Linked DNA regions of Drosophila melanogaster. The protein of the gene in region 1 purifies or fractionates together with the protein of each later gene. This does not show direct contact. Each region holds a gene or a part of one and is shown in the gene's direction. Other genes may lie near its edges.

Region 1 (5,688 bases):
GCTACGTGCCCCATTCGCGTTCTTTTGCCAGCGACCGTATGCGGGCACCATTTTCTACCCGACTCCAATAATTAAGTGCAATAAAAGGCAATTAAAAGTCAGCTTAATTAACCCAAACAACAAATAATATGCAAAATAAGCCGGCTTAGCGTTAAATAATCATGCTGGAAATTGAATAACTTTTGGGCGTAGCGCAGAGTCCTTGGAATTGTGTCGAAAGTTGTATATATTTAATAATGAAACATTTCTGGGAAATGTGTGAAAATGGAACTTTGCTGCGTATTGTTAAATATTTTTTCTTTATATGTGGTCGAGATTTCATTCTTGATGCACTTGTGTTTATTTGTAATCTAATATAGGAAAGTAAGTAATCTTAAATGCTGATTTTTGTTAAAATCGTTGCTTCATTGATATTTCAATAAACATACAAAACCAATAAGATAGTATTCGACTTTTGTAAAGGATCAGAATGCAGGTTGTTTATAAGAGCATACACAACCACAAATCGATCGAAAAACTTTCAATCGTCAGCAGGCGTGGACCTCCTGCGGTTTTGTGGACAAACATTACAAAGGTATTACATGCTCCAGTGGAAAAAAAAAGAATGAAAACAAAAAACGAAAAACAGTTGTCCAGGGTCAGTTGCAAATGGATTTTTAAACGGTCGGACAACCGCAAAGAGATGCCTTGAGTAAAGAAACTGGTCGAGGAGGCAAGACAGCGTGAAATTATAAGTAAGTTTTCTAGCACGCACATGATATTCGAATACTGAAAGGTAGACCGATCACGCATAACGGATCTTTTAATTAGGGCCATAAACGCGGGCCAGGGAATCAATCAAAGCGCATCGACCAACGATCCAAATCGATTGCCAAACAGTCGCGAAAGATCAACAAACCTGATTCTCAACCACCCTTGGTCTCTCCTCCTGACGACTTTTCGTTTTTCTACCCATCGTGCGGATTGCGTTTCAGTTGGCCATAAAGGCAGGGAATCGATCCGCCGATCGGTTCGCTAATTATGCGAAATTATTGATTATTGCGGGCTTTTCACTAAACCGCCAAATTGCGTGTACGTGCGTCGGCCCGACGACCTTGACAGTTAACTCGATCGCATTTACCTGAAAACCTGGTCAAAACTAAAGGCGTTGGGAAGAAGGAACACGACCTGTATATCTAGACAAAATTAAACCATCAAATTGATCGCATTGCTTTCAAGCCTTGGCAGTTATTGCATAGTTCTCAATAAAATAGGGTACAATATTATAACAGCAATATATTTCGTATATTGTGGCACTTAATTTGATAGAGTTAATTAGGAAGCAATATAATTATATAAAGGTTTTAAATAGGATAACCTTATTAACCAATTCGTTTTGAGCAAACCAGTAAAGCACAAGTAAACTTATGCCCGCACAACAATTATAATGTAAGAAGACGTCAAACCTGTTGAAAAATGCTGAAATTCCAGTGCGATAATAACATAGCCCTCGAGCTAAATTCAAATTACGCGCCCTGCCCGCTGGCGCCCCCTACCGCCTGCGGTGCTAAGCTACGACGCCCATTTCAACCGCCCGGGGGCGCTAGTCGGCATGCAACCCTGCGCGTCAACAGCTGACCGGCCTATACCCATCTCGCTCGCTCTCTTTCCTTCCACGCCGTCAGCCGCAAAAAACAGCGGACGCTTAAATTTTCGTAAATATTTGTAAATAACAGGGGCTTAAGTTCATTTGGCAATAACTAACCTTAACTCCCATCCACAGCTGGAGCTGAGTTCAGTGGACAGCATCCACGCGTTTAGTGAGCTAGGTGAGCTAGCAGCCGGCAATGTGAGGTTATGTCCGGCAGCATATAAAAATAGTTGACATCTAAATGCATATACATATATGTATTTACATACCTGATTAATCGGATATATGTAACTAACGACTTGCCATATCACCGCAGATCAACGAAGATGCCGCCCAAGAAGCACGACGAACCGGAGCGCAAGCCGCTGATCGGCAGAATTGGAACGAATCTGAGAATCGGTATCGTTGGCGTTCCCAACGTGGGCAAGTCCACTTTTTTCAACGTTCTGACCCAAAGTGCCGCCCCCGCGGAGAACTTCCCCTTCTGCACCATCAAGCCGAATGAGAATAAGTATTCCCCAACACACACATATATATATATTTATATATATATATATCTTTACATACATATATCTGGCCAATTACCAGGCGAACCTGCGGGCGGTGGCAATTTCCTCGATCATTGTAATCATCTCGTGGAATATAATTTTTATGCCGGCGATGCAGCAATGGCCTCCAGGAGCAACCGCCGCCGCTTCTAATTCCAAATTGCTCTCTCGACTGGACCTTCTAAAATAGCCACAGTGCAGCCTCGATAGGTAACACAAATCTCTGAGATTCGCAGCTAAGTGGGGGATTCAATGTGTCAGGAACTTAGATCTAAACACTATGCTATGGCTAGTATACCTTCTGGTTATTAACCATTTTATCATAGAAATAGTCTTCAATTGTAGATAATTCCAAATGTTAAAGCACGAAAACTTCAATTTTAGCAAACTTCAAGCTATAAGCATTTGATCTTATAGATTATCCTTACTATGTATCTCATACAGAGTGTTCTCATGTTTCCATTCCTTTTGGACTACAGAAGTAACAGATAGTTTCGCACACTTAACTCTATAAATTAGTTAAGAAACCATATTTGTATTCATTTAAGGCACCTTTAAAAGTTGAGCTAACCATGCTTCACTGTCCTTCGCGTTGTGGGCGTGTCGCGGCCTTAGCAATTTTATCAGATCCAGTTCCCAATATGCAAATTGCCCCCGCCTTCGGTTCGTTTCGGTTTCATTTTCCTGCGCTTTTTATTTGTGAGCGACTTCATTTTGGTTTCGCTGCCCCTTTGCGGATGGCGCAAAATTATAGAAAATTGCCATGATTGGCCGCCGATGCTGCCGGGCTACCAAGCCAGTCAGTCAGTCAATCGTTTTTGTTTTTTCATATTCTTGTATTTTTGGATTTCTGCATTTCTGCGTCCAGCCAAGTCATCCCGACTAACATGCGTCTTACCTCTTCTTTTCATCTGCTCCTGCTGATGCTGCCGCCGATGGCTTTTGCCTTACCCACACGTCGTGTTCCGGTGCCCGATGAGCGTTTCGATTACCTGGTGGAGTACCACAAGCCGGCCAGGTGAGTTGGAGCATACAAATCCATTGCATTTTAGTTTTCCATTGCTTGTAACAAAAAAAAACATATACCTGCATCACGAAACGCATTTAAAACGCGTAACAAGTTTCGGGACTTGCTATTTTCGTTATTTGCTTGCCATTTGCTTGTTAAGTTTAATAGAAAAGTTCTGCACAATCGAAAGTAATAAGTATTTAAAAAAAAAAAACTAGTGTGGTTCCTGCCTATTTGAACGTCGTGGACATTGCTGGCTTGGTGAAGGGAGCCGCCGAGGGTCAGGGACTTGGCAACGACTTCCTCTCGCACATCAGCGCCTGCGATGCCATTTTCCACTTGTGCCGCGCCTTCGAGGATCCGGATGTGACCCACGTGGAGGGCGAGGTGGATCCGGTGCGCGATCTGGAGATCATCTCCGAGGAGCTGCGCCTCAAGGACGAGGAGAATCTGCTCAAGAACTTGGACAAACTGGAGAAGGTGGTGGCCCGCGGCGGCGACAAGAAGCTCAAGCCCGAATACGATTCGATGCTTAAGATTAAGGATATCCTTATCGATCAGAAGCGTCATCTGCGCTTCGAGGACTGGAATGCCCATGATGTAAGTACGAAAACAATCCACATCCGCTGGGTGGCACTAACGCTTATTGTTATTCCTTTCTACTTAAAAACAAGGGGATATCCATAAAATATTGTATTGTAAATTTGTTTATTAAGAATGCATTTGTATTCGTGTTTCATTCATTGTTGTTATTATCGTCTTTATTTGTTTGCCAACAAAACAGCGAAATCTGTGGTTTTTTTTCGTGTGACCTTGTGATTTTCCCTCCCGTTCTTATTGACGCCACCACTACTTTGCTCTTTCAGATTGAGGCCTTGAACAAGTATCTGTTCCTGACCTCCAAACCGGTCATCTACCTGGTGAACCTTTCGGACAAGGACTTCATCCGCAAGAAGAACAAGTGGCTGCCGAAGATCAAGGAATGGATCGACAAGAACGATCCCGGAGCACTGCTCATTCCCTTCTCCGGCGCCTTCGAGCACCAGCTGACCGAAAAGGACGAACTGGAGCGCAAGGCCTACGAGACGGAGACCAAGTGCAAAAGTATGCTGGAGAAGATCGTTGTGACCGGCTACAAGGGACTGCAGCTGGAGTACTTCTTCACCGCCGGGCCGGATGAAGTGAAGGCCTGGACCATCCAGAAGGGCACCAAGGCTCCCCAGGCTGCCGGACGCATTCACACCGACTTCGAGAAGGGCTTCATTATGGCCGAGGTGATGCACTTCGAGGACTTCAAGGCGGAGGGCAGTGAGGCGAATGCCAAGGCCGCTGGCAAATATCGCCAACAGGGACGCAACTACACCGTCGAGGATGGCGACATCATATTCTTTAAGTTCAACGCCGGCGCTGGCCTCAAGGATGCCAAGAAGAAATGATACCGTTTGGCCATGATCATCGCCATGTCCACCGTTTTGTACATTAACTTGATCTTGTACTCCCAGATGTTTCGCTTCGCCAGAGGCTAGCTCCTCATTATCACATCCCTCACTCTCATGTTCGAGGCCTGAAAATGCATTTTGAATTTCCTTTTTTTTTGTACGCTATGTAAACACGCTTATGACACACAATCTCAGTCGTTGTTTGTTATGGTAACAGGCGGGTTAACTGGAGCACCATTTGAATCCGCAGTGATACTTGAATATTCTATAAGAATTTACCTATGTATCTTTGTGGCTATATGATCATTTGTCATGGGATTGAGATTTTTAAACATGCAAGTAATAAAATCAGGTTGTAGATTTGGCAAGTACTAGTATTGTGTTGCTATCCCTTTGCTCCTAGCTAGCAACAAACAATAAGAAATGACATATCCCTTGTCAGGCATTGACATTGTGGTAACCGAAGTCTCGGATTTCTATTGCTGAGCCGTGGCAAAACTTTTTAATCATGCTGGCAAAGTTGCTGTTGGAAACACCTGTGCAAACCTCTTTGCCACCAGAGCCAACAGGAAAAGCGGCCAAGTGCAAGGAGCTGTGCCACAAAGACTCAAAAGGAGGGAGCAGGGGCTGTGCTGTGCGCTGGTTGCTCTGTGCAAATGCAGCTGCATCCAGTACACAAAGGATCGGGTGGTTGAGGTAGCTGGCTGGTTGCCTGGTTGGTTGGCTGGTTGGCTGGTTCCACTGACTCTGGTCGCAGCGGCAACTTGCTAAGCACATAATTTGGTTTACCGCATTGCCAAACATGCGCCGCCAGAAACACGCACATTCCCCCTAAATCCCAATCTCAAACCCTTTTTCGGTTGCTTCTGGGTTCTGTTAATCTTTGCCAAAAGAAACTTTTCTTGTGCACCGTGTGACGAGCTCGAAATGTGGAGCATAATTCAAAAGTCTGCAATGAAAGTAAGGAAAAGTTTCAAAAATGTTCTATACATTTTGGGATTATGGTTTTGAGTGCAAGAAGAATGCCTCAAAATATTCAAATATTATCTTATAAAGGACCTG
Region 2 (3,857 bases), on another chromosome or scaffold:
GGACGTAGAGGAGGCCAAGAAGAGGGTACTCTTCTACTACACCTACAAATCAAAGGAAAGAGAACTGCTCAAGGGTCGCCAGGTGGACGATAAGCTGATAGAACTGGCTCGTTCAGGGTAAGGCGGGGACCCCCCTCATTTTCTGGAGGTGGGTGTTATAGAAAAACTTGTTCTTTTGCAGAATATTCGCCACATTGCCCAAACCTATTGGCCCTGGTGGCCCCCGCATCCACTACACACGAATGGGTCACATTGAACCTTCCAAGCACAGTGTCAGCGACATTTTCCGCTTCCACGCTTTTCGCGCTGAGATCGAGATCAACACGGACGACAACTGGAACATAGCCGGCGTGGTGGAGATCATCGACTTCACCAAGATACCCTACTCTCTGCTACTGCAGTTCGATCCTGGCATGTTCAAGCGGATGAATGCATTCCTAGAGCATGGAATTCCAGCGAATTTAGTGGCCACGCACATTGTCAATGCATCCAGGGAGACGCAGTTTGTCCTTGGACTGGTTCGGAATGTCATGAAGCAAAAGGAGCTGGTGAGTTCAAAGGGAAAATCGATGCAGAACCACTAACTCTTTGCTACCCTTCCTACAGTTGCACATTCACTCCACCGTCGCGTCTCTGCGAAAGGCAATTGGATTGGAGTATTTACCCGTGGAAATGGGCGGCGATAATGGATCTTTGTCTGATGCAATGACGCGCTACGAGACCCAGCTGCTAAGCTTTTCCCCGTACTTCACGGAAGACGAGCGATATGGCGTGGATGAGAAATTGCGGGAAGCCAGTGAGAAGGATCAGGAAAGGGGTGCTCCGTTAGTAACCGACGTTCCGAACGACGGAACCTTCCGAATGATTAACTTCGATTGAGTCAATGATCGGGCAGTTAGTTGTATATTCTGATGCACATCCTATAGAACACCCATTTAACACACAGCCCGATATATACACACTGGAATGTATAGACACTACAGCGCTAAAGCGATCTTTGGTCATAGCAGAACCTGATATTTTATAAATGAAACCATAAGGGAGGAACATCGAAACTAAAAGCAAATTGAACAATATTATAGACGACAAGTGCACACTAAAACGAAATAAGAAGCAAATGGATCGCCATCAAATGGCACAAAAACCTCACAAGTTTGTCGATTTTAATTTATTGCTGTCCTTATCCACGCACATACTTATACACATTCTAACGTCCGGTCGAACGATTCATTCTACCATGATCCCATAATGCATTTTCATGATGAAATCTTCAACGTCTTCTACTTGCGTGCTAAGTTGTTGTTGGCTTTGATTTTATCGCATACTTTTATAAATACGGTACATGAGCATACATATATATTTTGGATAATTTTTCAGTTGGTTAAGTGTCGTTTTTACTAATTTTTGATACTAGTTTACACATACATATACATGCATCTCTATATTTATGGATAATACATACATAGTTAAATGACTATATTTAAATGTGACAATGTACTGTAGACCCCATGTTGAGTGCGTTAATAAATTAAAGCGAATTTGTTTAAATGTCGGTATAACTAAAACATAAATGGTATTACTTGGGGTTGCCTTCTTCATAAATGGGGTAAGGGTAATGTGTTTATCTGGTCGAGATAAACGCTTTGTGGTTCTTGATGACTGGTTGACATATCGCTGTTTGAACTGAGATTCCGATAAGTGAAATCGATAAGCTTTCGGTTATGACAAAAGCAAGGCTACAGCATTTAATTTTATTGATCATTGGTATATTTTATCTGACTTCTTACCACCACCTGATTATTTTGAACTTATATATTTGCCCGCCCTTCTCGGATTCCCCATAGAATGGGATGGGATGGCAATATCATTTTGGGTACAGTGTTGAAAAGCGACCAGTTTGAACTTTGGACCGGAATAAAGCTTTTTGCTTTGAGCTTTTTGACATTTCATCAGCGACAACAAATATATTTTGTTTTCGTGTTTACCGGGCTTCCTGAAGCTAACTGATTAATTAATTGCCAAGATGTCGAAGGCTATTAAGTATTATTACGATTTCCTATCGCAGCCATCCCGCGCCCTCTGGATTGCTATGAAATTGGGCAAGACCCCATTTGAAGACTGCCCGGTTGCCCTGCGAAAACGTAAGAATAAATAACAAGTTACACATGTATATAAGGTATAAAGATCTTCTAACATTTGGGATGGTTATATTCCAGAGGAGCAATTGACCGACGAATATCGCAGTATAAATCGGTTCCAAAAGGTGCCGGCCATCGTGGATGGTAAATTTCAGTTGGGCGAGAGTGTCTCCATAGTGCGGTAAGTTCAAGTATCCAGAGCTCGGATTGCCAGGTTAATACTATAGATAAATGACACATTTCAGATATCTCGCGGACAAGGGAGTCTTCAGTGAACAGCTGTACCCCAAAACCTTGGAGGAACGCGCGCGGGTGGACGAGTTCCTCGAGTGGCAGCATTTCAATGTCCGCTTGGTCTGCTCCCTGTTCTTCCGTCAGGTGTGGCTTCTTCCGGCAAAGGGACTGGCGCCGGCTCCCAAGCCAGAGTCTGTCAAGAAGCTAATCAAGGATGTGGAGAGTAATTTGGGTCTACTGGAACGCCTCTGGCTGGAAAAGGACTTCTTAGTCGGCGACAAACTTACCGTGGCAGACATCTTCGGGTCTTCAGAAATTAATCAGATGAGTAAGACTGAGCCCACTGCTGTATCTAAAATAAATTCTAATAATAACGATTTGTAATTTAGAGCTCTGCCAGTACAACGTAAATGAGAAGCAATTCCCCAAGGTGGCCAAGTGGATGGAACGCGTTCGTGATGCTACCAATCCCTACTACGATGAGGCCCACAGCTTCGTCTACAAGACCTCTCAGCAGGCAGTCAAGGCCAAAAACTGATTTCTTTTCGATTTTGACTGATTTCTTTGTTCATTGCATTTATTAGGATTTTAAAACATTTTTGTGCCTTATCTGATGTTTATTGTGTTCAGTTCTGCGCTGCAAAACTCCTAAATGTTAAAATAATTAGAGACTATGAAAAGGGGTGATATCGGATCAATAATAGTTTCATATGTTCGCTTTATATAATATAACTATCTTTGAAGTTGGGAGCCACTTTTGAATTTGCCTCCTAAAGCGGGACAACTATAATAGCATAAAACCAGTGTTGCAAGGTGACACTCAAGATCTTTTGACTGGAGCTTTGCTCAATTTCTCATTTTCCAGCTGAAGATATTCGTTTTTGCCGGCTGTTTGGAAGTTGGGGCTGAGGAACGGGAGCAATTGACCACCATGTCCAAGCCAATTAGATTCTATTACGATTTGTTGTCCCCGATCGCCCGTGGTCTATGGATTGGTTTAAAATTCAGCAACTCACCCGTTGAGTATTGCCCGATTGCCCTGCGAAAATGTGAGTCAAAGTAATCATCTAAACTGCCCCGACTCATTTATGTTTTATTAGTTGAGCAATTGACCGACGAGTACAAGAAGATCAATCGATTCCAGAAGGTGCCCGCCATTGTGGGTGGGGACTTCCATTTGTCTGAGACCATAGCGATTATAAGGTATGGGAAGGCCATCATTGGAAAGCAATCTCACATTTGGATCGTACATTGCCCCCTTGCAGATATCTCGCAGACAAAGGTCAGTTCGATGAGAAGCTCTACCCAAAGACGCTGGAGAACCGTGCCCGAGTGGATGAGTTCCTTGAGTGGCAACACCTGAACATTCGTCTTGCATGTTCCATGTACTTTCGAGATGCCTGGCTGTTTCCCATGAACGGGATAGCGCCCAAGCCCAAGCCAGAGCAGATTCAAGCACTGATTGAGGGAGTGGAAAACAATCTG

The links.
Region 2: the proteins of CG1354 (region 1) and GstT1 purify together in Drosophila melanogaster (affinity purification with mass spectrometry, with the first as the bait; one large-scale study listed by BioGRID). This does not show direct contact.

Annotation. Positions count from the first base shown.
Region 1 is NC_004354.4:9,777,106-9,782,793, forward strand, and holds CG1354 (uncharacterized protein), read left to right. Parts: upstream 1-1,636; 5' UTR 1,637-1,704; intron 1,705-1,762; 5' UTR 1,763-1,808; exon of another isoform or gene 1,809-1,828; intron 1,829-1,852; exon of another isoform or gene 1,853-1,946; 5' UTR 1,947-1,956; coding exon 1,957-2,137; intron 2,138-3,081; exon of another isoform or gene 3,082-3,101; coding exon of another isoform or gene 3,102-3,135; coding exon 3,136-3,196; intron 3,197-3,405; coding exon 3,406-3,787; intron 3,788-4,053; coding exon 4,054-4,623; coding exon of another isoform or gene 4,624-4,713; 3' UTR 4,714-4,989; downstream 4,990-5,688.
Region 2 is NT_033778.4:9,604,064-9,607,920, forward strand, and holds GstT1 (glutathione S transferase T1), read left to right. Parts: upstream 1-1,924; 5' UTR 1,925-2,023; coding exon 2,024-2,141; intron 2,142-2,216; coding exon 2,217-2,319; intron 2,320-2,383; coding exon 2,384-2,700; intron 2,701-2,761; coding exon 2,762-2,910; 3' UTR 2,911-3,121; downstream 3,122-3,857. Other genes in the region: CG1902 (uncharacterized protein), read left to right, coding at 1-117, 182-548, 607-879; GstT2 (glutathione S transferase T2), read left to right, coding at 3,304-3,421, 3,473-3,575, 3,638-3,857.